Linked DNA regions of Rattus norvegicus. The protein of the gene in region 4 interacts with the protein of the main gene of each other region in a biochemical or structural test. Links are inferred from orthologs where the notes say so. Each region holds a gene or a part of one and is shown on either strand. Other genes may lie near its edges. The genes, in order: Nedd4, Siah2, Ubqln1, Psmd4, Prkn, Stub1 and Btrc.

Region 1 (2,674 bases), on a different chromosome or scaffold from region 4:
ATAAGGTACACTAGGCAGGTCTACAGAGTAAGTAAGCGACACGTGGTACTAAGTGTGTCGCGGTTTATGAATCAATCATTAAAGACTTTCTTTGTCCAAATTTCATCTTAAAAAAGCGTCAATTTTTCCCACCAGCTACTCATTACAGATATTTCACAGTTGGAATCTCAGTAGTTTTAGAAGGATGTGCCTAGCAAGATGAAATACGGTCAGAACTCAGGCACACAGGACTCACATCCTGCCGTACACATGAACCCCAACAACTGGACAAAGGAACAAGTCAGCGTGGTGGTGGCTGAAATCATGGATAAACAAACTGTCCTCTGGACTCTTGAAGAGCCAGTGGCCATCTTTTAGAAGTTATCTGGAAAATGCTAAAATGTGATTTTGTTTTTGCTTTTGCTTAGGAACTATGGTGTATAAGACACCACAGCTTGGTTTTTTGTAATCTAATCAACCCCATCAAAGCCCTGCGTGTTCTCAATCGCCATCTGAAGTTTATCCCAGAGTTCGTCAAAGGATTCATAGGGTGGCAGGTCCAGGCGGTTGAAGCTGAAAAGATTGAGAGAATCTGGTTAGGATTGACAGTGAAGGGGGAAACGTCCCCATGGTAACCACAAGACCGCTGCTGCCTGTCAAGAGCGTGTTCCATCACTGCATTCTGAGGTCACAGCTGCCAGGGAGGCTCTCCTGACCCCCTGTGCAATCTTGCCCTCACACCTGTCTCCAGATGACTGGGTTCGTAGATCATGATAGCCTTTAAGACGGAATGTTCTAGCACTTTGGGGAAAAGGTCAATACTCATGGAATGGAGAAAAAAAAAATATATATATATATATACATACATGTATATATATATAGCCAACTAAACTAGTTGGGCCTCTATTTCTTTTAAGATTAATTTATTTTATGTATGAGTACACTGTAGCTGTCTTCAGACACCAGAAGAGGGCATTTAATACCATTACAGATGGTTGAGACCCACCACGTGGTTGCTGGGAACTGGAAGTCAGGAAGAGTCAGTGCTCTTAACCACTGAACAAGCTCTCCAGCCCAGGGCCTCTATATCCTTAGCTACCTGAATTTTGAGCCCAAGCAGCATGGGTTTCAGGATCCATGTTCCTGTCCCTTCCTGTCTCTCCTAAGGCTGCCACACACCTGTATAGTAGGAGTGGCTCCTATGCCAGCAGCAAGGGACTATGTCCTGTCTAGGGTAGAACAGCTACTCACCAGGTATGTGCTCTGGGCAGCTTATCAGGGGTGCCCCACTGTTCCACTGTGAAGGACTGTGGTCCATTTGAGCCTGTGGAGAAGACAAGTTTCTGTGGTTTAACTTACTTTACCCACAAGTCCCTAGACAATTCAAAATACACTTTTCCATATATAAAACTTGTACACACAGAAAACGAATCAGAAGAGAAAATGAAGCCTCCCCTGTGCTAGGATTTACTGTTGAGTTATAAAACTGTCTGTCACTTCACCTGAGGGTGCTGTGCTCTGCCCCACTGTGGCACACTAGGTGGCACTCAGCGTTTTGCTAGACCTGACCCAGCTGCATCTTGAATCAGGGCTTTCTTTACAGGTACAGGTACAGGTACAGGTACAGGTACAGGTACAGGTACAGGTAGGAAGGAAAGAAGGAAGGATGGACGGACGGACGGACAGACTTCTTGCTTTTGATTCTCATTGAAACCAGTTTTAATTTTTTTCCCTGATTACGTAATGCCACTGTAAAAACTGAAAAATGACAGAAAAACCATAGCTGAAGGCTGTGAGAGTCATTACAATCCTAGCTCATGAGGTCGCCGTGGGGAGGGTTTTGTGTGGTTTCTGTGTGGTTTTGTTTGATTTGTTTTTCAACATTTAATTTAGGGCCTCCCATATGCCATGAACACACTTGTTACTGAGCCAGTCTTAGCTTTTAAGTATTTTGATTATAAGTATTTATTATTTTCTCCGTATCTAAATGTGCATGTGTGGAGGTCAGAGAAAAACCTGTGGGAGTTCTCTCTGCACCTGTGGGTTCTGAGGACTTAACTAAGGTCATGAAGCTTGGTGGCAAGGGCTGACCTGCTCAGTCATGGGGCAGGGCGTCTTTGTCTGCTGTTCAAGACTGGGTTTTGCTCTTAGTCCAGGCTGTGCTGGAACTCACAATGTAGCTGAGGCTGGCCTCAAACTTCTGTCAGTCTCTGTACTTCAGTTTCCCAAGTAGTGGGACTCCTGAGTCTTCCTGAGTGGTTCTCACCCTTCCTCATGCTGCGGCCCTTACTTAACACAGCCTCCCACTTTGTGCTGACTCCCAACATAGGGTTGTTCTGTGGGTACTTCATACCTGTGATTTTGCTAGTGGTATGGACTGTAGTATAAATATCCAACATGTGACACCCCTCCAGGGGTTGCCACCTACAGGTTGAGAACCGCTAGCCTAGAGCAGTTTGTGTGCATGTGGCCCTGCTACACGGTCTACAGTTTTTCTCATTACAGACATTTTAGAAACTGCCTTTCTTTTTCTTTTAGAGTTTCCACTTAGCTGTCTCCAATCCTCAACATCTCAAGTGCCAGATAAGCCGGCTCACATTCTGATCTGTGACTTTTCCACTCTCCTCCTCAAATCCCATAATCAATTCCAAATGTGCACGCATCATTGCCAGAAGGTTTTCAAGAGGCGTAACTT
Region 2 (4,283 bases), about 40 Mb from region 4:
GAAATCAGTGTGGTGGTTCCTCAGGAAGATGGGAAATGATCTACCTCAAGACTCAGCTCTACCACTCTTGGTCATACAGCCAAAGGGTGCTTCATCCTCCCACAGGGACACCTGTTCAAACACGCTCATTGTTTCTCTATTTATAATTACCATAAGTCAGAAACAGCCTAGATGGCTCTCTAAAGAATGGATAGAGAACACGTGGAACTTTTACTCGTTGGAGTATTACTCAGCCATTAAGAAGAATGCAGATGAACAGAACTAGAAAGAGTTCATCCTGAGTGACCCACAGTGATGGAGAACAGACCCTGACACACAGCCTGCACAGGGCCTGAAGGACCTCTGCAAGGGTCCTCTGGGTATAAATTATGACTTCCAGAATGTGAGAACAAGGGGGTCTTTGACTCCTTGTGCCTTTTCCTGGTCTTTATGTTATTTTTATCATCCCTTAGATGCTTGTTCTTTTTTAATGAGAGACAGAGAGGGAGTGGATCTGGATGGGAGGGGAGGTGGGAAGGAACTGGGAGGAGCAAGGGGGGCAGACCGACTGTAACCAGGTTGTATTATAGGAGGGGAAAAAATCTACTTTCAATAAAAGGAGGAGGCATGAAAATATTTAATTCAAATTGCACAGATGCTGCACTGAGTGAATTAATAAGCAGTACCGGGTGTGAGGCTAAAGGCAAGCAATTTAATAAGGTGACCCTATAGCCTAAACCCTCATTCAAACCCTTATTCAAATAAGCTACTTTAACTGTGCTTGTAGTTGGGCAGAAGACCAAAGTAACTCACTCATTTTACTGATTTGACTCGGAAGTCTAAAATGAAAATCTCCAGTGAGCTATTTTTAGTTTAAAACAGATCTTGCCCTAAAAACTAATCACCACTGAGGAGATAATGCAAGACAACTTAAACTGTCTCAGGTAGAACAATTACTTTCATTAAAAAAAAATCTCAGAAATATTAACATTATTCCCACCTACAACTTTAGAAAATGAACTCGTTGGTAGAGGTCTAGATTAGAGAGAGGCATATAAATGAGGTTGTAAGGCTTTTTTTTTTTAAGGGCTTCAGTACTGGCAACAGTATAACCACACAAATGTAACCTATCATTTAAAATACAGAAGATCAAGTCAAGTTTCAGACATGAAACAGGTGAGGATATTAATTTGTAAAGCTGGTTGTAAAAGGGAAAAAACATTATCTCTGTGGGTACTTTTAAAAAAGCTTTCAGAGGCAGACATTAACGATTCTATTAATTTAGCTGTGCGGGTGTAAATGTAGGCTCTAAACGAACAGGTGGAACAAGGGAATGAGAGCTTGCACTTTGGCTTGTGGTTTGCTTCTCCTCCCTACTCCCCAGGAGCACAGGTAACTCTTTAAATAAAATGCTGGCACTGAAGAGAACTAACAAAGCTCTTGAGTGTCCTCGATGAGTCCTCGTGGTCGCGCTTAGGTAATAAACAACAACCAGACCAAACCAAACCAAACCCCAAACAGCAGCCACAATTTCAGAGTTCTCCCCAAGTCTGGGAGGCTGCGAGAAGGCGTGGCTTGCAGGATTTTTTCCGCACTCGAGTGAAGCAGGCAGTATCCGCTTCCCCTGTGTAAGCGCACTCTCAAGAGAGCTCCCAGATCTTGGGCACTGGGTCCATTCCTAACCATGCTTGTTGCTGGAAACCGTCCGTGTCCTTCCTCCACAATCTACACGGTCAGCTTCCCAGTTTTAGTTAAGCTGTCCAGCCTTACAGAGCACACCCCTGCAGGGGACGCGGCGGCACTCGGTTGAAAGAGCTGGGATGCTTCTAACCCGCAGCAAGTGCCAACTTAATCTACAGTCAGTGCTCTGGCAAACATCAACCCTAGTTGCTAGTTCCCAAAATGGACAGGTGGGCGGTTAACAATAGGCACACACACCCACACACACACACACACACACACACACACAGAGAGAGAGAGAGAGAGAGAGAGAGAGAGAGAGAGAGAGAGAGAGAGTGTTAGAGAGACAGACACATGGAGAAGGAGACAGAAAGAAGGAAAGCAGTGATATGCCATTCGCTTCTCAGGGCCTTCAAGTGCGCTGGAGGGCACTGGAACTCTGGAAGGTTCCTTGGCAGATTTGCGGATGGTGGTTGGACTTACCTTACAGGGAAACAGAACTGCCGAGGCGACCTTCTCCATAGCCAGGTTCCTGATGCTGGGCGTTAGGGCGCCCCTGCACGTCGGGCAGCAGCTCAACTTCTGGCGGCATTGGTTACACACCAGGTGCCCGGCCTGGCACTGCAGAATGGGGGGCAGGACATAGTCAAAACAGACCGGGCACTCGAAGAGCGAGGTCAGCTCGTGGTGCTGCGGGGACACTGGGCCGGCCCCGCCGCCGGCGCCGGGGCCTGAGATCACCGCTGCCGCGGCGGGCACCGCGGACGAGCCGGGGCCCGCAGCCGAGATGGTGGCGGCAGCCGGGGGCGCAGCCGGGGACGGGGCGTGCGGGGTCTGAGGCGGCGGCGGCTGCTTGCTGCAGGGTTTGTTAGCGCTGGGGCCGGTGGAGGACGGGCGGCTCATCGCGCTCCGAGCCCACCATGGACCTGCGGGCTTCTGCCTGCCGCGGGGCCGCCCGGGTTAAGGCGGTGCGCGCCCCGCGGGTGGCGGGCTCCGGGGTAACGCCACGGCGCCCAGTCCGGGGACCGGGCGCGGACCCGACCAGCACCGGGAGGGCGGGGACGCGACCGCGCCGATCCTCTCGGCGGCGCCCGGAGTGGTCGACGCTCTCGGGGATCGCGGCCGTGCGGTGCCCTCCTCCGGAGGCGTTCTGGTGCGCAAAGCCCTGGCCCACCCGCTTCAGGAGCCGCAGCTGACGCAAGCCCCGGGGGCGCGCGCGGACGTGACGCTAAGACACGTGTGCGGCCGACCCGGCACTCTGGGACTGGCAGAGCCACCCTGCGGCCCGCGCAGCTCCGCCCGGCCCAGCTGGCAGCGCCGGAGCGGTTTCCCGCTGGGAACACTTGACTCGGTCGGTCGCCGCCGCGCGGGGTCGCTTCTCGGCGGTGGCGGAAGCCAGCCGGCAGCGCAGGGAGAGGACGCAGCCCAAGTCTTCCGACTCTTCCCAGGGGACCTACACCGACGCGCACAGGACTCCAGCCAGAAGGGCAACTGCTGGCCCGGCGTGGGCGTGGACGGCGCGCGAGTGCGCCAGGGGTGGGGCGGGGCAGGGGCGGGGCTCGGAATCCCCACGTTTCTTTTAGGGTTGAGTCATTGACGCGCCGGAGAAGCTTGCGATCTTGCTGCTCAGCCCGTAGCTTGACACGCGGGGGCGGGACCCGGAGTCGGGCGGGAGCCGCGCGAAGGCCTCGGGTGTGGCCGGGCAGTTAGGTATGAGGGTAGACTCTCCAGTGGTCCTGCCCTTAAGGCTAGGAGGTAAACCCGCGGTTTTCCTTCAAAAGCCCACTGGCGAAAGCTTCTTGGAATTATTTGGCCGCCTCCGGTCCAAGAGAACCCGGACCTCTTGGAGATCTCTGGCTCGGTGGAGAATTAAAATCTCCAAGGAATACCATACACGTGGGTTGGGTTTGTGAGGCCCAAAATGACAGGAGACCCTCTACTATCTGAGTCCTTAATATCTAGTCCTGGTCCAAGCCTTAGGCTTTGAAGCTTACCTGGGGCTTTAAGAGGAAGGTAAAGGATTGTGAGTTCAACGTACCTGTTACCAACCCTCCTCAGCTTGACAGGATTGGTGCTGGATTCCTCCTGAGTCTTCTTTATACACCCCGACATGTGGACTGTCTCAGAGGTGTAAAGTAAGATGTAGACTTAGAGGTGTAGAATAAAGGGCACCTACAGGGGCTGGAGAGATGCCTCAACGTACTATTCTTAGAGGACCAAACTTTGGTTTCCAGAACCTACAATCGCCCATAACCTCAGCTCCAGGGGATCTGATGCCGTTTGGCACCAGTATACATCGTATACACACATGCCCATAAATAAAAATTAAACCTTAAGGGGGTGTTGGGGTGGGGCAGGGGGCATCTACACCCCACCTTCCGATCAAGCAACAAGAGAATTCTACAAGGGTTCCCCTAGTCTCCAGGCAGTCACCATTCAGAACCCATCGAGGTCAGAGAGGAGCCAGAGAGCTTGGAGCAAGCCGTATTTTGATATAATGGATATATCCTGCTTGGACAAAAGTTTTGTGCTTGAACTGATGACACTGAAATTGGTAAAGCTTTACTCTTTGTAGGTAAAACAGATTAGTCAGGACAGGGTGAAACAGTGCCCTGTGACTTTCA
Region 3 (4,300 bases), on a different chromosome or scaffold from region 4:
TGGGGGGACAGGGTATGCTTTCAACTTTTATCACATTTACTGCTCCCACAGGAAACAGATAAACCAACATTAGAATAAGTTACTTTAGGAAAGCTTTACTTTTACCCAGTAAAGACATTTTTACAGCACAGCAAAACATAAGCTTCCACGGAATTTAAAATTCTAGTGTCACTATTCCCCACTCCCCCAAAAAAACCCTATAGATAATCACCTAAATAATTTTTCTATTTATAAAGTATTATTTCTAATGTCCTGAAATAAAATGTGGAAGCTGCCAGGAAGATGGAAATCTAAACTGGGACTCTCAGGAAGACTCAAGAGCTTCATAATTTAGTATGTCCACACATTCATTACTCGGTTACAATGTAAAAAAAAAAAAAACCAGGGCTGGAGAGATGGCTCAGTGGTTAAGAGCACTGACTGCACTTCCAGAGGTCCTGAGTTCAAATCCCAGCAACCACATGGTGGCTCACAACCATCTGTAATGGGATCTGGTGCCTTCTTCTGGTGTGTCTGAAGACAACTACAGTGTACTCACACACACTAAATAAATCTTTAAAAAGAAAAGAAAAAGAAAAAACCCTATTCGTACCAAATATTAACAAGGAGACAGAAGGAAGGAGCACACACCCATATGATGTAGACTGAACTGCAAAATAGCACATTTTTCATGTTTCTTATAAAACTAAACAGAACTGGCAGAGCATGGTGGTGAATGCCTTTAATACCAACACTCAGATGAGTAAGGCAGATGAATTTGAAGCCAGTCTGGTCTACACAGTGTGAGTTCCAGGATAGCCAAACTTCCAGAGTGAAAGCCTGTCTTTTAAATAAAAACAAAAGCAACTAAACAATAACAGAGCATATGGCCTCAAAAAGGACTCCTGAGGCTCTTCACAAGAACTGCAGCTGAAAACAGATGACCCTGGGCAGGTGACGGCACATTCATGGTGTGGAAAACCACTCAGCAGTTAAGTACTGAGCTGAGGACTTGGTTCAGTGGTAGAATGAAGCCTGTGCCTAGTATGCAAATCTCTGTCGTGGGAGGGATACAGACCTCACTGGGATGAATCTCAAAAACTATGCTGAGTGGAGGAAGAAAAAAAGCCTTATCCAGAAGACCACATGAGAGACAACTAGGTCTCTGTGAACTCAATCTTGTAGGAAAAACAATCCTTACAGGGGTGACAAAAAGAGGAACGGAAGGAAGCCTGTAGTTCACTCTAACAGGCTCCACTATGGCCTGCTTGGCTGACACAGGTGTAGATGGAGCTGGGGAAACCAGCCAAGGCAACCATGTCCGTATCACTGCGCCTCTCATCATGTGGAATACCATTTTTCAAAGACGTTGTTCTCAAGCCACTAATATTTATGTGGCTTACCTTCCTTATAAGGGTAATACTGATATTTGCAGTATTTTTAATAGTAAGTGTATTTTAGAAGTAAGAGATGCCCAATACAGAAAACGCAGGAAAATGTCAATTGTGGGTGACGGACACACCTGCTGGAAAACATAAAGACGGTAAACTTTTTTTTATAGCAGCGTTAACGCACAAGGAATGATGCTTCAGTCAACCAGAGTTTCTCTCAATGTGCCACACATCCTCTTGCTTCAGAAAAGAAACCGACTTCACCTTTGGAACTAGATAAGCCTTGAGAGAACTTACAGGTACATTCCAGTGGCTGTTCCCTGCTTCCTCGCATAAAACTGTTTACAATGTTTGATACTGTCAACAATTCAAATGCTCTAGACCGTGTTGAAAACTACATTTGATAGGTTCTACCAAGGCTCTTAATTAGCTGCAAGATTTGTTTTCCTGAATAGACTTTAAGGCAATTATCGGCCTTAACATCAACCATGTTTCCTTGCGGTCCGTTGCAACCGCTAAGACCCAGTCAGGTGTCTTCTCATCTCCCTAAAAAAATCAAACAAAAACCTATCCAATGAGTGGCAGCTAAGCGATGACGGAAGTATTGTTCACAGAAGCAGCAAGTCGCCTATGAATCAAAAAGTCATTTACTTTTTTCCTTTCAGGCGTGAGCTAGTACAGTGTGACTGAAAACAAGTTCCGCGTCATAATTTTTATAATAAAAGGCTGAAAGGTGGGGGAGAGTTCAGCATTCAAAACCGAGAACTAGCCCTCCACGTGCTTCTCGCCCCCAAACCTCTCCAATTCCCAGGCAGGTAAAACAATGACCCCCACCCAGCCTGGTCAAAGGCCGAGCGACGCCCGCGCCCTGCCTCCCAGCAGCTCCCGGCTCCTTTGTGAGGACTGGGGTCCCGGGGCCCGGAGCTCGGCGGCTGCGGCGCAGCCCAGCCCAGGCCGCGCGGCTCACTCGTCCCGGCCCCGCACAGCTCACGCAGCGGAACCCGGCGGGACCTGACCGGAGCTCCCCGGGGCCGCCGCCCGGCCAGGCCGCCCCTTCGCCGCCCTCCCCGCCCCGCCGGCGACGCAGCGACCGCCTGGCCCGCGCCCTCACCTGCTGGACCGAGCTGTTCTCGGGCACAGCGAACTCTTCCTTCTCTTTAGGCGTCTTCACCGTGACCTTCATGATCTTGGGCTCTGCGGGGCCGCTGTCGGCCGCACTGTCCTGAGCGCCCGGTGGGCCGCCGCTCTCTGCGCTCTCGGCCATGGCGGTGACTCAGGCGAGCGCGACACTGGGGGCTGCGGCCGGGTCCGCGGGGCGCGACAGGTTGCGGGGCCACCGACGGTGCGTAGACGCGGGCTGCGGGTGCAGGCCCCGGTGGGCGATCGGCTGCCGTGTGGACGCGGGGACTCTCCGCGTCGCCGCCGCTTCCTCCTCCCGCACCTCCCCCACGCTCGTCGCCGGGCGCCGCGCGGGGCACGCTGGGTAACGCGCTGGCCGCGGCGCCGACTCCTGGCGGCCGGCTGCGCGAGGCACGCCGGGTAGCGCGTTGGCGAAGGAGCCGACTCATGGCCTGGCGGCGCTCGTTCCTTTCTTAGCCGGCGGACGAAGCGCGGGCTCCTCCAGGTCGAAGGAGCGCTGGGCACAGCGGGGGAACTTAACCCACTTCGCGTCTCCCGTTCTTCTTTGAAAGGCATTTAAACAGGGGTTTCATGGAAGACGCCATGATGGTGCACTAAGATGACGTCACGGGCAGCGAAATTGCTAGAAACGTCTGGCCCTTTGCTCTCGGTCCCGGTATCCTCCCGACCTGGTCCCCGTGGGCGTTGGCTTATAAAATAGCGGCGAGTTACTTTATTTTAATAAGCGTAGTGTTTGCCCGGGTGGAAGGAGTTACGATTGCCTTGTCTTGTGCTCAGGGCTTGGAAGCTAAGCCAATGGTGAAAGGTCTTCAAAGGAACACGAAACAGACGCCAGTGAGCCACCAGCGCAACCGCAGGCGCTCACTGTTTCAATGAGGCCAGAGCTTCCCTCCATGGAGTCAAACAGGTTTGGTCAGAAGACAGGACAACCCATATTGTCTGTCTTCCAAGCTGCGTGGGGGCAGAAACAGAATGCCTAGGACTGTCCACCCAACGGGTAGGAGTTAAGCCCAGCTGATGTGTGCCTTTTGTATTCTGTCCCATTACGTTACTGTGCAGCTCGCATCAGGGATAATGGTTGAAAACTTATTTTCAGCATAATGTAGGCACAAATAAGTCATTCACAAGTGACTCCCACATCCTTTATTCGCAAAGATAGCATGTAATACAGTCCGGCACTTTGTTAATCAACATTGCACAAACGTGAACTCTGACAGTGTACCGTGACCCTAATATGCAAAGACATTCCATAGTTCTGCTCTTAGGCCATCAAACCCTGTTCTATGATTAACTACTGTTGCATAAACACTTCTTAGCAGAGCCCTTTGAAATCTGGGTCAGAGTTTCGAAGGTAAATGGCGACCCAAGTGTCACTTGATATCACTTACATTTCTGTCAGCGTTGTTCGATCACAGGAAGAAGTTACAAGCTTTATGTCTAGGTGTGAGAAAATTGTTAGTTCTTGGGGTAGAAAGTTCCACCACTGAGCAAGCAAGCATTTTGGAATTTTCTCATGTTTATATATATAAAATCTCCTTCCAACTTCATTAGTTCCTCTGTTGACTGGTTTTCCTTCCTGCTGTATTCTCCCTGTGTACTTCCCTAGGCTGCCTTCTATGATGACATCCCCCCCTTCCGCCCCCCTCACACCTTTCCCTGCCTAACTTTCTGTGATCTCACATCATATCCCCCACCTCCTGGAAGTCTTCATTCTGTTGCCCTTTAGAAACCCGATCTCTTTACTCTAATACAGCGGCTGTAGATAACCTTTACTGATGTTTGTATGGAAT
Region 4 (4,158 bases):
AGATGACCTTGACCTTGTAGCCATTCCACTTTGTAGTGAGATCACAGGCAAGCTCCAACAGGCCTTCTTTTCTTTGACCCCCAGACAAGGTCTTATTGTATATAAGACTACCCTGACTACCCTGGAACTCATTATGTAGATCAGGCTGTTGTTGAACCCACTTATCTGTCTGCCTCTGCTTCCCAGGGGTTGGTGTTAAAGGTGTTGATTAACAAACAAACCAAGATAACTTGCTGGTTTTTCCTCTGTTCTTTGGGTGAGTACATGGTGTTCATTGGGGGCTGGAGAAATGGTTCAGTGTTTAAGAGTGTTCACTGCTTTTCCTAGAGTACCAGAGTTCAGTTCCCAGCACTCAGATAGTCAGTTCACAACTGCCTGGAGCTCCAGTTCCAGGAGATTTGATTTTCTTTTTTCAGCCACTGCCAGCACCTGAATACACACACAAACTCTTAGATTTTTTTTTTCTTTTCTTTTTTTTTGGAGCTGGGGACCGAACCCAGGGCCTTGTGCTTGCTAGGCAAGCGCTCTAACACTGAGCTAAATCCCCAACCCCCACACTTAGATTTTAAAAAAAAAATTTTTTTTTAAAAATTGGTCAAAACTTTTCTGGATTCCTTCATCCTGTCAGAGTCAATACTAGAGATAGGGACTGCAAAGATTTTTTTTTTCTGTACTTAATTAAACGCAGGCAGTAGAGGGGGCAGGGAGAAAAAAAAAACGCAAGCAGTAAATAAATCAAATTTGAGGGTACAAGTGTTTATAGCAATTGCATAAACACAGTGCAATGGGAAACAGGGAGTTAAGAGTGTGATTAACGATCCTGACACATTGTCAAAATGATTATGCTTGAACTGACATATCCATAGTAGTGCATGCACACGTGTGTGTCTATGTGTTTTTCAGGCAGTCTCACTATGTAGCTATGTAGCCCAGGTTGGCCTGGAAATTGCAGATCACATCTAAGTATGATGGTGTACCATGTAAACGGGGGTGAAGCAAGGAGATCAGTTTAGCCTGAGTTCCACAGCGAATTTGCAGCCATCCTTTCTCAAACCGTAACAACAAAAACAAAACAAAAACCCAAACATATACAGAGAGCAGAGGAGGGGTAAATTACAGCTCTCCTGCCTTCCACTGCAGAATGTTGGTGCCTGGCGAGAGCTGTGCAGAGAGGTTGCACACCTGTGCAGAGAGCTAAGAGCTAGCTGCTCCGGAAGCAAGCGGCTGCTAAGGTAACCGACTCAACTGGATGAGCAACCCTTACATGTCCACGACGCCTACAAGTCCCAGAACGCACCGCGGGGCGGAGGCGGGGCAGAGGCGGGGCAGCGTGAAGACTGAGTTCTTTGATTGGTGATGAGCGCCAGGCCAATCGGAGGTGCTGTTGTTTGTCAGTCCCGGAGCCGGTCCGCAAAGGAAAGGTGGCAAGATGGTGTTGGAGAGCACTATGGTTTGGTGAGGAACTTCGGACGTGGCCGGGGGCGCGTCTGGGTTGCTGTTGCGCGTGGCGCCGAAGCCTGAGGGCCTGGGTTGGGGACTGGGCGGCCGGGCGAGATGTGGCTTTGGGGCCCGCAGGAGACAGGCAGGCGACTCCCTGAGTCATCCCGGCCCAGGAACGCAGGCCCGGGAACCCTGGTTCCCTTCCTGGACCCTGCTTCCCTGTCTCCCGTAAAGCAGACGCCAATCGCCCCTTCCACTCGCCTCCAATGTTTTTCCTCTTCTCTGTACTTTTATCTCACGTAAACCTCACAACAGCATTCAAGGAAAATAGTCCTTCATTCCATAACGAGTCTGAAGGACTTTAGGTGATCTGCTGTAGCCACACAGCCAATTAAGTGGTCGTGATGAGCAAGAGTCAAATTCAAAACTACAGTGTTCTTCTCCGATGAATTAGTTCTTACCAAGTTTACACTTGGGATGAGTACCTATTAGGAGTTAGATTAGAAACTGAGGACAAGAAAAATAAGTAAAGCTGAGAACATATTTTTTCAGGGCTACAAGAGGGCTTTGTTTTTGTGTTTTCAGATACTGGGAATTGAACCCAGAGCATCGTGAATGCTGGGAAAGTGCTCTACCAATGAGCCACACCCCTTCTAGATTGTACTTATTGTCATCGTTATTTTTTTAGATGGAGTTTTGACACTGTAGTTCTGGTTGGTTTTGAAGTCTTTATTTGAAAAGATACACAGGCTGGCCTTGAACTTGGGATGAGTATGTAGGATTATAAGCCAGCGTCCCTAGGCTCGTGTTTCTGTTTTGGAGGGCAAGGCAGAGGGTTTTCATGATCAGGACTACCTAGCAAGATTCTGTCTCAGAACAAGACAACCAGGATGCCCAGTTAAATTTGAATTTCAAGCAAATCAAGAGTAATTTTTTAGTATAAAAAGGGAATTTTTATAGGTTTTTTTTTCTTCTGGAGTTGAGGACCGAACCCAGGGCCTTGTGCTTGCTAGGCAAGCGCTCTACCACTGACCTAAATCCCCAACTCCTTAAAAAGGAATTTTAAGTGCAACCCAAATATTGCTCTTACAAGTTACTTGTGGGAGCTGGGCAGTGGTGGTGTACACCTTTAATCCCAGCACTTGGGCAGCAGAGGCAGATTGATCTTTGTGAGTTTGAAGCCAGCCTGGTCTTCAGAGCAAGTTTTAGGACAGCTCTAAAAAGATGATAAAACAAAAACAACAAAAGAGTTACTTGTTGAGGGTGAGAGGCGACTCAGTGGGTAAGAGCACTTGCTGGTCTTGCAGAGAACTAGAGTTTGGTTCCAAGCACCCGTACTGTACTGTTCACTGCTGCCTTCTTGACAGGACCAGAAGAGCCAGTGCCTTTGATCTCTGTAGATGTGCATGCAAACATACCTAAAAACAATAAAAATAAAACTCGAAAGTCATTCATTATTCACCTGAAACTTAAAATTTAACCTTAAGTCCTGTATTTTTTTCTAAGTATTCACTTCTGGGAGAGAGTATTAAAAAGAAGATGGATTTAGAATTCAAACTGTTTGCTGGTTGGCACTTAGGTTTTGCACATTGTGGGAGAATTGTAGTAACTTCTGTGTCTCATAGTATAAGTAGGTAAGCCGTACGTATGTGGTGGTGGTGTGTGGGAAGTCCTCAAAATTTAAGAGGTGTAAAGAGACATGTTGAGGAGGAGAGGTCATTACAAAGTTGCTGAAGTAAAGGTCCCATGTTGGAGAAATAGACCAGAGTGACCCTTTACACAGATTGTTGTTATAAGGTGGGAGAAGTCACTGTAGAAAGACATGTCTGAAGACTTGAGCTCTGTTCTATACCCCAATAAGGAGATTCTGAGGGTGATGGAGTTAGATCTTTGTACAGACTGGTATTGATTTAAGAATATTGATCTGACTAGATGTGGTACACACCTATAAATGATGGTTGAGACAAGGATCATGAGTTTGAGGTCAACTTGGAATGCATATTGAGGTCCTGCTTCAAAAAAAATTACTGGATTGATACATGAAAGGAAAGATTAGGACCCGTGACTTTAGTGGTCAATGTGACTGCCCAGGAACAGAAGAAGGAGACCCACCCTCCTGTTTTCTGAGGTGTCCTGCATTTCCAGGCAACAGGATTCTCTGTAGGGGCCTATTCTAAAATGCAAGTGTTTTGACTTTAGCCTTAATCTGCTGAATCAGATTCTCTTGTTAGTTTTTTTATACACGGCATTACACTTGGACAGTAAAGCTAGCCTAGAGCTCACTGTTGTGTTTATTGTTGTTATATAGAGATGTTAGCTCAGGTCAGACGCGCTGCCCCACACCTGTAATCCTGGACTTAGGAGGTAGACTCAGGAAAATCAGTTCATCTTCAGTTATAGAAAGCTCACCCTGTTTCTAAGGGAGACTGAGGTTGGGAAGGGGCAGAGTGAGAGGATCTCAGTATGTTGCCCCCAAATCCTGGATTCAAGAAGTCCTCATTCCTTGGCTTCCCAAGTAGCTGAACCTACAGGCATGCTCTGTTGCCTGTCCTGTGTTGACAGATTAATTGATTTTGCAAGACTGAGTAAGGATCAAACCCTGGGCCTTGTTGATGCTAAGCAAGTACCCCACCACAGAACTTCCTCCCAGCTGTGGTCAGGATTAAAATTATGGTGTCATGGGAAGGTTGGGTAATACCTTTAAGCCCAAGTTTTTAT
Region 5 (3,500 bases), on a different chromosome or scaffold from region 4:
CTCAGTTATTTCTGCCTTTAAAATGAGCAATGTGAGACAAAGAAGCCAAATTCTCCAATGTGTATCCTGTGTGTTAACATCCATTTGCCTTGATTTGTTACATTAAAAACTGGACACAATCTAAAGATTTAATAGGTAGATGAAGATATCAACACTGTTAGAATACCATGCATGTGCTTAGCATGATATTATGTTAAGGAAAACAGTCTTAATGGATGCAAAATCGACTCACACTCATTATGACTTGACGCAAGTGTCAGCCATTCATAAAGGCAGGGGCTAGTCCATGTGGCCGAGCTTGATAGACAGCATTTCTCCTCTGAGAACTCTCCAAGTATGTCTGCTTCCTTTCAGTGATAAGTGGAGCTGAACATATTACAGAGTCCTCTGTCACTTTCACCAAATTCCCATTGCTTATAACAGAAATTAAAAAAAAAAAAACTTTGTGTCTATGTGTACAGTGTTTATATGCACAAACACATTCGTGTGTGTGTGTGTGTGTGTGTGTGTGTGTGGACAAGCACACATGTCAGTTCCCACCTTCACTGAATTTGCGGCAGGGTGTCTTGTTTACTGCTGCCAGGCTAGCTGCCCTGTTAGCTTCTGATGTCCCCTTAAGAGCACTGGAATTACAAGCAACTGTATAGGGCTATCGCTACGTCAGGCTTAAAGTGGGTTCTGGGATCTGAATTCAGGTTTTTGTGTTTCTGTGACAACCTTTGTCACTGAATGATCCCCTCAGCCCCTAAGAACAGCTATGTTCTGCTTTTATGTTTTAAGTCTCGGAATTTAGAGTCTGTAGGAAAGCCTCAAGAGTGCCAGTTGGGTGGACTGTACTTCCTGACACGCGTCCTTGTCACCGAAATGAGGATACTCATACTGCTTTGTGCTCAGCCCTTGGTGATTGAATCTATTTCACTTGCTGTAAAAGTATTTCTCTCTGGGCAACTATCTGTGAATATTAAATTTGCACCCTACATCCAGACCCAGGTTCCAACGGTTAGTTAAATATCTCTCCATAAATATCCACTCCTCATAAACTCTCAGCACCCCTGGAAATTCAGCTCCCTTCCCATGGCGTTTTATGGAATCCCGTTCACTGCAGGGCCAGGTCTGTCAGGATTCTGTCAAATGCCCTGCCGACTCCATCTTTCCCTCTGTCTTCAGTATCGCCTCCAGCTTCCGGAAGGACGAAGCCCATCTTCCCTCCCGAGGCTGTGGAGGGTGCTGTCCTTCCACCAGAGGAATCCTCATCTGGATTCAGTCCATTTGGGAGCTCTGTCCTGGTACCTTCCCAGTCTGCACCTTTGAAACATCACGATATCTATGGGCTATACAGCATTAACTATGCATAGCATGTGCGTACTATAGGCTGGACCTCATGGCACCTCAATGATTTCATCCTATGTGGTGCTGGCAGACAGTTTGATCTCGAATTCCTTTACTTTAGAGCCCTAAGCGGGTAAAGAGCAGACTTCTGGAATGAACTCCTTTTCACCCAAGCCCCTGAGAAGCTCTGAGCACTGGAAGCTCTAAAAGTGTGAACCAAGCTAATACTGTTGAAACAATGCATAGATTTTTATAAAAATCAGTCCCCCACAGCAGTTAATCTTACTGAATAAGGAACAGCTAACTGTTACACTCGCCCCACCTTGTACAGGCGAAGGGGCTTTAAAATCTAATGGTTCTCATAATAAAGTCTATCTGGACTCAAGAAACAGCTTTAGAACCATTTATTTGAGAAGGAGACCACTTAGGTTTAGAAGTTGGCAGGAATGGCAGAAAGCTTTTTAGTTGACTGAAATAAAAAACAAAATCAAAACACTTCTTAGCACAGGCACTTCCCTTATGAAAACAAATAGCAGGAAAGCAAGGCACAGCAGTTTCTGCACAATGGGCGTGAGTCCTACTGCCACCAGCGGGGGCAGGGAGAATAGCAGAAGTGATTTGCATTTCTATAGTTTCTTTGTACACCCACATTCCAAAAAGCTTTTCACAAAGCAGCGAACACCTCAGTCCACAAGAGGACTGACGGGACTAGGCAGTCTGAGGTCTGAATACAACACAGATCCCCATCCAACTGGGAGCAGGGGCTCAATTCCACCATACACCGAGAGGAGGGAACGAGCTTTTCCCTGCTTCTAATCACTTGAGTAAATGTGGCCATTTCTGCTGAACTTCCCTCCAAAACACTCACTGTTCTCTCATTCTAGGCAACCGGCCTGCGCATCGATTGCTAACCAGTTCCTTGGATGCCTGCAAAACTCATTTCTCCAAATGTACAAGATGCCATAAAGAAGAGGGTTTCCATGGCACAGCAGGGGCCAGATACACAGGAAGCAGAACCCCATGGTTCACTTGGTTCTGTATCGGGGTGTAGGCCAGGGATAACTCTGTATATGCTTGGAGATACGAAGATGGACTTTTGCTGTGTAATTTCCAGGCTGCCTATCCACCGCTCAGAGCCCTCGGCAAATGGGGCCCTGGGCCAGTGTCTGCTGTAGTCCAGGCAGCAGCTGTGAGTGTCCTCCAGGGGTCACAGTCGGGTTGTAAATCCCTCACAGAGCTTGGGCTGAGCAGCCTTATAGGGAACAATTTATTTGAATCCTTCTTCATTAAGATTCAAATGGAATAAGGAAGGTAAAAATTGAACAGACCCAGAAATTGTGCCTTCCTGCTCCCTCAGTCAGTAAACATTTATTCACTAAGCCGAGCGCCTGGCTTCTTTCTCCCCCTCTTGGCTCACTCACACTTGTTCCTCCAGTCCTTCCTGCATACTGTTTTAATGCATAATTAAGAAGGTCAGAATTAATGAAGCCGTGTGGAGTAAAGTTCAAGGAATCCCCAGGCACTATTTATTCTATTAGATCTCAGGCATGAATGTCAGATTGGCAGCATAAACTGCAAGGGCCTTGGCCCTGGCTACATCCCAGGGACCACCCACCCAGGGAGACTCACCTGTACTGTCAGGTGATTCTGCAGCTCCTTCCCAGCAAAAATCACTCGCAGCTGGTCAGCTGGAACCCCCTGTCGCTTAGCAACCACTTCCTTGAGCTGGAAGATGCTGGTGTCAGAATCGACCTCCACTGGGAAGCCATAGCTGGAGTTGAACCTGACAAACACTAGACAAGACCAGGGGCAGAGAGAGAAGAAAGAACATTACTCCAAGCCTTTAATGGCCAGTGAAATGTCTCTGAAGCCTCTTGCCCCTCACCTGCCCTCCAGTGAATGACAAAAATTTTCTCTCATTTATAACAGAGAAGTTTATTCTATAGAGCAATAGTTAGAAAAAAAAAAAACAAAAAACAGAAACAAAAACAGTTTTCCCAAGGTGTTTCCTGCTTATACCCTGGCCAGTGACCTGCAAACCAAGACTGCTTTGTGCCTTTCACAGTCCTTCTGGAACAGAGGGAATCAAGCGGAGAATTTGCTTGATTGGAATCTCGAGATTCCCATGAGTGTATAGAATATTCTGCTCCAACAGACTGAACAAATGCTCA
Region 6 (3,939 bases), on a different chromosome or scaffold from region 4:
CAACTGACCCCACAGGAGCTGGATCTGGGGTACCCTTCCACTGGCATGGGCCTGGTTTCTCAGAGGTTATCTATGGTCGGAAGGTCAGTGCAAGGGTGGGGCATGAATTTGGTGTTTGTAGTCCATAGCACATGAGAGTGACCTTAACATTCCTGCCTCCAGCGCTGGTTCCTCTACCCTCCTGAGAAGACACCTGAGTTCCACCCTAACAAGACCACGTTGGCCTGGCTCCTGGAAATATACCCATCTCTAGCCCCATCAGCTCGGCCTCTAGAATGTACCATCCAGGCTGGTGAAGTCAGTAGCTGGTAGGTGGGGGTTGGGCTAACCCAAAAACTAGGGAATCAGACTATTTTTCCGTGCCCCTTCTCCCAGGCGCTGTACTTTCCTGATCGGTGGTGGCATGCCACACTCAATCTGGACACCAGTGTCTTCATATCCACTTTCCTTGGCTAGCCAACAAGCGACTGGCAAGCCCACTGCACCAGCACATGCCAATGTAGTGCTCACAGACTTTATTACAGGACAGTGGCAGCAGCAGCAGCAACCCACCCTCACCAGCTCTCCAGCCCAGAAGGGAGACAAGGGAGGCTCATGGCCCAGCAAGGGATATGCTGAGAAGGGGAGCAGTTCAGAACCCATCATCAGGACCGATGGGGGCAGGCCCAGGGACACAAACTATATACAGGGACTGGAGCTTCTGCCTCCAGACCCTCCTGGGCCAGGGTGCCAGGCAGGACATGGGGTATCAGTAGTCCTCTACCCAGCCATTCTCAGAGATGAAAGCATCAATGACTTCCTTCATGGCTAAGTTGGGGATGAGCTGTTCCTGGGTCAGAGGGCTCCGGGTCACAGGATCGAAATGGCCCACGCGCTGCAACGACAGAGTCAAGAGTATTCAATGGCCTGAGTGTCCCCTGATCCCAGTCCCGAGACCACAGGCCCTCCTTACCTGCAGGTGCTCCTCAATGTCCTTGCGGTCATAGGTGATGCCACTGGGTGTAATGCAGGGTTCCCGCATCAGCTCAAAGCTGATCTTGCCACACAAGTAGTCAGGGATATCTCGCTTCTGCAGCACAAGAGGGAAATGTCTGCAACTGGAAAGGAAGTCACCATACCAGAGCCTGCCCATGAGCTTCAAGGCTCCGTCCTTACCTTTCTTTTCTCATCCACCTGAGAGAAGAGCTCATTCATGTCCGCCATGTATTTATCCTGCAGAGTTGAGCGCCATGTGTGGGCAACTCCTGTCTCCTCCACACAGACACACACACTCTGTCCACCGGGGCACTCATGTCATGCATGGGCCAACAGAGCCACCATAGGCTGGGGCACTTCTCATGCCACACACAAAAACACACACACAACGACCCACATGTGGACTAGGGGCACCCTCACGTGCTTGGCCTCAATGCAGGCCTGCTGGGCCCTGATGTGGCCATCATCCTCATCACCCTCGTGGTTCCGCTGACACTCTTCCAGTTCCCTGAGGGTCAAGAAAAAGCCAGCTGGTGATGGCCCCAACAGGGAAATGACAGATCCCTTCCCATCTCAGGCCTCTTTCCTCCCGGGCTTCCCATGTACCGGCTGCTGTCCTTTAATAAACACTTGCACTGTTGACTCGGTGTTAACTGTTGGGGGCGGGACCCACCTCTCTCGCTCAGCAGCAATGAGCCTGGTGAGATAGGAGTGCAGCTCACTCTCCTGGTGGATGCGCCGTTCCTCGATACTGTTCCAGCGCTTCTTCTTAGCAATGCGAAGGGCACTAGGAATATCATCCCCAAAGTTGAGTCGCTGCTCCTTGGCCAAACTATAGGCTGGGGGAGTGGACACTTTAGGTTACACTTGTCAACAATCCTGGCCCCAAAGGTGCCCACAATCTGGCATCTTGTCAGCCCACCTCGCTGCAGATTGGCAATGGCCTCATCATAACTCTCCATCTCTAGCTGGCACTGCCCCAGGAAGAAGTGCGCCTTCACAGACTGCCCATCCAGCTCCAGGGCTCTCCGGCAGTCAGCAAGTGCCTGTTCAGGCTGCTGCATCTTCAGATAGCACAGGGCCCGGTTGGTGTAGTACACTGCCACAAGTGGGTTCCGGGTCTGGGAACCAAGATCAGGTGACAAAGAATGTGGGCTCATCTGATCCCCTCTCTAATAGCAAGCTGAAAGCCAATGATCCGGACAATTCTCCAGCATTGGGGGCCCATGGGTGGAAGAGAGGAACTGGAGATTTCCGAGTTATCAGAGCTCTGGATTCTAGCCATGCTCTCTTGCCTCCAACTGTTTTTGAGAAAAATCCCAGAACCCCTCCACCAGCTTTAGGCTTGGGAGCCTCAAGGGGCAAGAATTTCTGGTGTCATCCTTAGCTTGCCTCAATCAAGCATCCCGCCCGCCAGTCCCCAGTCAATCTGCCCTGGATTCGGGAACAGCAATCCGGGTCTAGGCTGCCAGAAATCGTCCGGGAATCACAGAACTGGGAGGCACATCGGGCCCCGCCCCCGCCCCCGCCCCCCGCACTCACGATGGCGCGGCCGTAGCAGGCCGCCGCCTCCGGGTACTTGCGGCCCACGAAGAGCCGGTTTCCCTGCTCCTTGAGCTCTTGCGCACTCGGGCTCTTATCAGGGCTGCCGCCGCCACCAGTGCCCAGCCGCGCGCCGCCCTCCTTTTCCTCCTTGCCCTTCATGGCGCCGCGCGGCACGGCTTGGGCTCCGCGCCCGGCCACCTAGATCTCGCAGCCCGCGCAGCTATCAGCTCCGCCCGGTCGGCGATCCGCCACCGGAACTTCCGGTGTGGGGCGGGGCTGGCATGGGGACACGTGAGCAAAGGCGGAGCCTCGCGGATTGAGCGGGTTCGCTTAGCCCGGAGAAGCTACCGCTGCGCTCTCTACCGGCCCCGCCCTACAGTAACTAGGACCTACCCTCAATATTCAGACCAAGGCTCCGCCCATTGGCAGTCAAGCCCCACCCTCCGGCCCACGCCACGCGAACGTGGCAGCGGTCCGTGCTGGAGAAGTGGCGCTCCGAGGGCCGGTCACTAGGCCCAGGTCCTAGCGCGCCACCGGGGCGCACGCGGGCTCATGCGGCAGCCTGGGAACGTCTAGACCGCTGGTAGGACGGCGGAATTGAGGGAAGGAGAGAGGCCCGCAGGTCAGACCACCCTCGAGAGGCTTCCTCGGGAATCGGGAGAAGCTGCCTGCGGCCATTACTGGCTGAGAAACAAGCACGTGACGCGTTGACTCGAAAGGACCTGCTGCGGTTGCTATAGAGGTAGCTGCGGGTCCGCGGCTGGACGCTCCCCTTCTGCGGTCATGGGGCGGAGCTTCTTCAAGGGCGGTGCCAGCAGGTTTCCGTGGAGAGAGCCTGCACCAAGACCCTTTGACCCCAGGTCTGTAGATGAGGCATTTTTAGCCGCTGCTGCATCAGCTGTTGGCCGCTAACATCCCCCACCCGGGACTTGGAGAAGCAAAACTCGGCTTTCTGCCGATCTGTGCGCCGCAGTCAAACTTCGCTGCGTGGTTTCTGCCACTGCCTCGAGTGAGTAGGGAGCATCTTTGCACAAGTTGGGTGGGGGCTCTAGGAACTCAAAAAAAAAATGTCCCCAGAACCTCCTTGTCACTCTTTGCAGTGGCTACAGTTCCTGGCTTGCTAACGCTGCAGCATACACTCAAGTACTACTTGCTGTTTCTAGCCCAGGTGCAAGAGCTCACTGCATTTCTGAGCAGGGGCCTGAGGGGTCACCCAGGACCCCATCATGGTTCCGATGGTTAGTAACTCGACCCCAGAACTCTTGTAGATCTCTAGTGCCTTAGAGCTGTCTGTAGACGCTTCATCTTGTGAAGAGAGCACTGCAAACTTGGACTATGGGCAGATGTATGCCCAGACCTGCTGCCTGAACTTCACCCCAACTGGTTCTCCCATAAGGACTATAGACCTGCCAAGAATTA
Region 7 (3,500 bases), on a different chromosome or scaffold from region 4:
CAGCTCCTGCTAGTGCAGTGTGCTGGAGGAGAGGCTGTCAGCATGGACCAGAGCCTTAGAAGTGAGGTTGCTGGTGGGGTGCCCAGCTGCAATCACAGGAGGGGTGGGGCAGGGGGAACGCTGACATCTGAGGTCGGTTTAAGTCACAAAGTAGGAGCTTATCTCAAAAGGAGAAGAAACTCTCTAAAAGGTTCCTGCTCTAGGGCAGCAGGTGGGGGTTAGCGGCACCATGCTTGTGTGACGCCCTGGGTTCAATTCCCAATACCAAACCAAAATACCCAGAAACATAAAAAAAAAAACAAAAAAACCATGAAACCAAAATAAACACAAACAAAACAAAATCACAGCACACCGAAACTCTTCATAGTCTTTAATACAACAATTCTACTTTGGGTGTTTTTCTTCTGAGACTGTCTATAAATTAATGCATAAGAATGTCTACCATGGTATAATTTATACAGAGAAAAATTAACAAAGGGTAAAGAATGTATTCACACTATACAACCTACTATTGGACTAAATCATTTAAAATAACCCACACTTAGGAAAATAGGCTTTAACATATTAAGAAAAGTTTTTAAAAAACAGGCTCCAGATCTATAGGGAAATAAACACACTGATCGGAACTTTATAAGAAAAACAAAGAACTGTGTGGTGGAGTTCTGGGCAACTGTATTCTATATTCTGTGTGTGTGTGTGTGTGTGTGTGTGTGTGTGTGTGTGTGTGTGTGTATTCACATGTGTGAATGGAGGTCAGTGAGCCCCATGGGTCTGCCTACGTCTGCCTCCCTAGGGCTGGGGCTACAAACGTACCCCTCTTTCAGCTCTCTTCTGGAGACTGGGGATCAAACTCAGGAACTTAGCTTCCACACTGACTATTACTGGCTGAGCCACCATCCATATGCACATGTATATGTATTTATACATAGCTGTATTCTGATGTGTCGACGATGACTAACTATTCCCTAAGGAAAGTGTAGCCCATGTAAACCTCCTATTTCCATGCCTGGCAGGGTTCTGGATCACTGTTAAAGAAGGGAGGGGACACTCTGGAGACGCTTACTTAGTGACGGAGTATTTATCTAGTTTGCACAGAATTCGGGGTTCACTTCTTGAAGATTGTGACCTTTCTTCTAAAATATTAAAAAATGCTTTTTAAAAATTAATTCCTACAATAGCATTTTTTTAATGGATGTGGTAGAAGCTAATGCATGAGGACGTTGGTTTTTGAGCCAGCTTGAGCTAGGTAGAGAGACTGTCTCTTAAACAACTCCAACAACAAAATAAACACTCATTTTGTGTGTGTGTGTGTGTGTGTGTGTGTGTGTGTGTGTGTGTGTGTGTGTGTGGTTTTTTTTTGTTGCTAAAATTCACATCCAAATTCAAGTACATGAAAAGAACTGAAAATAAAGCATATAAGTCATGCTTCAAATCTGGTAACAGTTAAGGAAAACACAAAACTAGACTTGGAACTGCATATAGGTTAAACAAAAAAGGCTGAGCAGAGGGTCAGGAGACAAAGTAAAACGGAATTTAATTATGCAGTTTGACTTTTCTTTTATTTTGATGAAGGTATAATTAATGACTTGGTCTGTAACTATCAAAGCAAACAAGAATTTCTAAATTTATTTCATGTGCATTGGTGTTTTGCTTGCACATATGTTTGTATAATAAGGTTGCTGGATCCTCTGAAGCTGGACTTACCGATAGCTGTGAGTTACTATGTGGGTGCTGGGAATTGAACTCAGGTCCTTGAGAAGAGCAACCAGTGCTCTTAACCACTGAGCCATCTCTCCAGCCTCCAAACAAAAATTTTAAAAAGAGAAATGTAGCTAGGAGTGTTACACTTGTAGTCTCAGCAATTGATTTCTTTTTTTCTTTCTTGCCCCACCCCTACCCCCAAAGGGTTTCTCTGTGTAACAGAGTCATGGCTGTCCTGGATTCACTTTGTAGACCAGGCTGGCCTGGAACTCACAAAGATCTACCTGCCTCTACCTCCCAAATGTTGAGATTAAAGGCGTGTGCCACCATGCTTGATATCCCAGCATGTCAGTGCTAAGACAGGACTGCTGAATTTGAGGCAGGTCTTGGCTGCATTGTGAATCTAGGTTATGGAGAAGCAGGGCTGGGGAGAATAAGGTTGAAGATCCAGCTCCATTACTGCTATGGCGAATGAACTCAGACTTTACAAGGATGTGCACATACCTGGCAGTGCAGTTATGAAATCCCTCTGCAGCATAGGCTTTAGATAGGAGTTGATGTGCCCATGCTGGTAATGACACATTTGAGATATAAGGTGTTCTACAAATTCCACTTGATCAGACTCTGACCACTGCTCAAAGTACTTGACACACAGCTCCTTTTCCTTCTCATAGCTTGCTGAGAGTTTCCGCTGCTTGGGCACAATCATGCTGGAGGTGCCATTGGCAAGTTTTGTCTGTTGGAGGGAGGGGATTGAAAGAATCATTTAACAGCAAGCATTGAAAATGAGGGAAAGAGTCTAAATCTCCTTGTCTGGTATGTAACGTGTATCTTTGCAACTGAATTATTCTTGTTGGATTTATTGCAATTGAGTATTTTGAACCATGATCATGTGGAAAGCCTTACAAATACCAAAGTGGAGGTCAATCAGGTATACCGTGGGAAGACCAAGCATCCATTTCTACAAGTTTAATCTACGGGGATACACAGATTAAAAACTGAGAGCCAGATGCATTTAATCATTATTAGCAAGCAAAAAGTTTAATTTGTTCTTTATCGTATGTAGCAGTTATTGGACAGGTAGATAATTAGTTGTTCACACTAACTTTTTTTTTTAAGTCAAATAAGTTTTATACACAAAGAAAGACCAATGAATATTTACAGACCTCACAAAAGTCTAATAACTCAGGCTGGAGAGATGGATCAGTGGTTAAGAGCACTGGCTGCTCTTTCACAGGTACTGGGTTCAATTCCCAACAACCACATGGTGGCTCACAACCATCTGTAATGGGATATGATGCCCTCTTCTGGTGTGTCTGAAGACAGCAACAGTATACTCATACACATTAAATAAATAAATAAAAATTTAAAAAAAAAGTCTAATAACTTATAAGCTCAAGTTAACCTTTTCTTTCAAAAAAAATTCCACCTTCCTGGTTATCAAAAAATTAAAGGCTATACTTTTTAGTAACTGAGTCATTTAATAGATATTTATTGAGTATCTACAATGTATTCAACACTGTTCTAGGTGCCAGGACTACAACAATGAACAAACCCAGCAGAATGCTGTCAGGAACATATACTCTGCCTGAAGAGGTACATATCACTATAATATAAACAGTGCTGCTGAGAAAAGCAGAAAAAATACTAGAAAAGGACTGGAGAAATGAGCTAGCAGGGAAAGAAAGCCCCAACACTAAGCCTGATGACCAGAGATTAATCCTTGGAGTCCACACGGTGGAAGGAGTGAGCCAACTCCTAGAAGGTGTCCTCTGACCTCCACATATGCTCTGCGGAGA

What was found.
Region 1: of the proteins of Psmd4 (region 4) and Nedd4, one has a biochemical effect on the other in vitro, tested with the Homo sapiens proteins (4 studies listed by BioGRID). The link is inferred for Rattus norvegicus from reciprocal best matches to the Homo sapiens genes PSMD4 and NEDD4.
Region 2: of the proteins of Psmd4 (region 4) and Siah2, one has a biochemical effect on the other in vitro, tested with the Homo sapiens proteins (2 studies listed by BioGRID). The link is inferred for Rattus norvegicus from reciprocal best matches to the Homo sapiens genes PSMD4 and SIAH2.
Region 3: the proteins of Psmd4 (region 4) and Ubqln1 form a complex in vitro, tested with the Homo sapiens proteins (6 studies listed by BioGRID and IntAct, with this or other methods). The link is inferred for Rattus norvegicus from reciprocal best matches to the Homo sapiens genes PSMD4 and UBQLN1.
Region 5: the proteins of Psmd4 (region 4) and Prkn form a complex in vitro, tested with the Homo sapiens proteins (6 studies listed by BioGRID, with this or other methods). The link is inferred for Rattus norvegicus from reciprocal best matches to the Homo sapiens genes PSMD4 and PRKN.
Region 6: of the proteins of Psmd4 (region 4) and Stub1, one has a biochemical effect on the other in vitro, tested with the Homo sapiens proteins (5 studies listed by BioGRID, with this or other methods). The link is inferred for Rattus norvegicus from reciprocal best matches to the Homo sapiens genes PSMD4 and STUB1.
Region 7: of the proteins of Psmd4 (region 4) and Btrc, one has a biochemical effect on the other in vitro, tested with the Homo sapiens proteins (2 studies listed by BioGRID). The link is inferred for Rattus norvegicus from reciprocal best matches to the Homo sapiens genes PSMD4 and BTRC.

Annotation. Positions count from the first base shown.
Region 1 is NC_086026.1:82,344,795-82,347,468, reverse strand, and holds part of Nedd4 (E3 ubiquitin-protein ligase NEDD4), read right to left. Parts: intron 1,304-2,674; coding exon 1,231-1,303; intron 553-1,230; coding exon 450-552; 3' UTR 1-449. UniProt on the Homo sapiens protein: E3 ubiquitin-protein ligase which accepts ubiquitin from an E2 ubiquitin-conjugating enzyme in the form of a thioester and then directly transfers the ubiquitin to targeted substrates. Specifically ubiquitinates 'Lys-63' in target proteins.
Region 2 is NC_086020.1:145,078,876-145,083,158, forward strand, and holds the start of Siah2 (E3 ubiquitin-protein ligase SIAH2), read right to left. Parts: upstream 2,801-4,283; 5' UTR 2,563-2,800; coding exon 2,143-2,562; intron 614-2,142; exon of another isoform or gene 1-613. UniProt on the Homo sapiens protein: E3 ubiquitin-protein ligase that mediates ubiquitination and subsequent proteasomal degradation of target proteins.
Region 3 is NC_086035.1:6,442,940-6,447,239, reverse strand, and holds the start of Ubqln1 (ubiquilin-1), read right to left. Parts: upstream 2,801-4,300; 5' UTR 2,635-2,800; coding exon 2,482-2,634; intron 1-2,481. UniProt on the Homo sapiens protein: Plays an important role in the regulation of different protein degradation mechanisms and pathways including ubiquitin-proteasome system (UPS), autophagy and endoplasmic reticulum-associated protein degradation (ERAD) pathway.
Region 4 is NC_086020.1:185,294,402-185,298,559, reverse strand, and holds the start of Psmd4 (26S proteasome non-ATPase regulatory subunit 4), read left to right. Parts: upstream 1-1,358; 5' UTR 1,359-1,429; coding exon 1,430-1,455; intron 1,456-4,158. UniProt on the Homo sapiens protein: Component of the 26S proteasome, a multiprotein complex involved in the ATP-dependent degradation of ubiquitinated proteins.
Region 5 is NC_086019.1:52,202,232-52,205,731, forward strand, and holds part of Prkn (E3 ubiquitin-protein ligase parkin), read right to left. Parts: intron 3,123-3,500; coding exon 2,959-3,122; intron 1-2,958. UniProt on the Homo sapiens protein: Functions within a multiprotein E3 ubiquitin ligase complex, catalyzing the covalent attachment of ubiquitin moieties onto substrate proteins. Substrates include SYT11 and VDAC1.
Region 6 is NC_086028.1:15,354,778-15,358,716, forward strand, and holds Stub1 (E3 ubiquitin-protein ligase CHIP), read right to left. Parts: upstream 2,783-3,939; 5' UTR 2,680-2,782; coding exon 2,518-2,679; intron 2,097-2,517; coding exon 1,898-2,096; intron 1,815-1,897; coding exon 1,649-1,814; intron 1,616-1,648; exon of another isoform or gene 1,484-1,615; coding exon 1,396-1,483; exon of another isoform or gene 1,213-1,395; coding exon 1,156-1,212; exon of another isoform or gene 1,070-1,155; coding exon 953-1,069; exon of another isoform or gene 875-952; coding exon 749-874; 3' UTR 501-748; downstream 1-500. Other genes in the region: Jmjd8 (jmjC domain-containing protein 8), read left to right, coding at 16-83, 163-297, 376-456. UniProt on the Homo sapiens protein: E3 ubiquitin-protein ligase which targets misfolded chaperone substrates towards proteasomal degradation.
Region 7 is NC_086019.1:254,295,364-254,298,863, reverse strand, and holds part of Btrc (F-box/WD repeat-containing protein 1A), read right to left. Parts: intron 2,438-3,500; coding exon 2,206-2,437; intron 1-2,205. UniProt on the Homo sapiens protein: Substrate recognition component of a SCF (SKP1-CUL1-F-box protein) E3 ubiquitin-protein ligase complex which mediates the ubiquitination and subsequent proteasomal degradation of target proteins. Recognizes and binds to phosphorylated target proteins.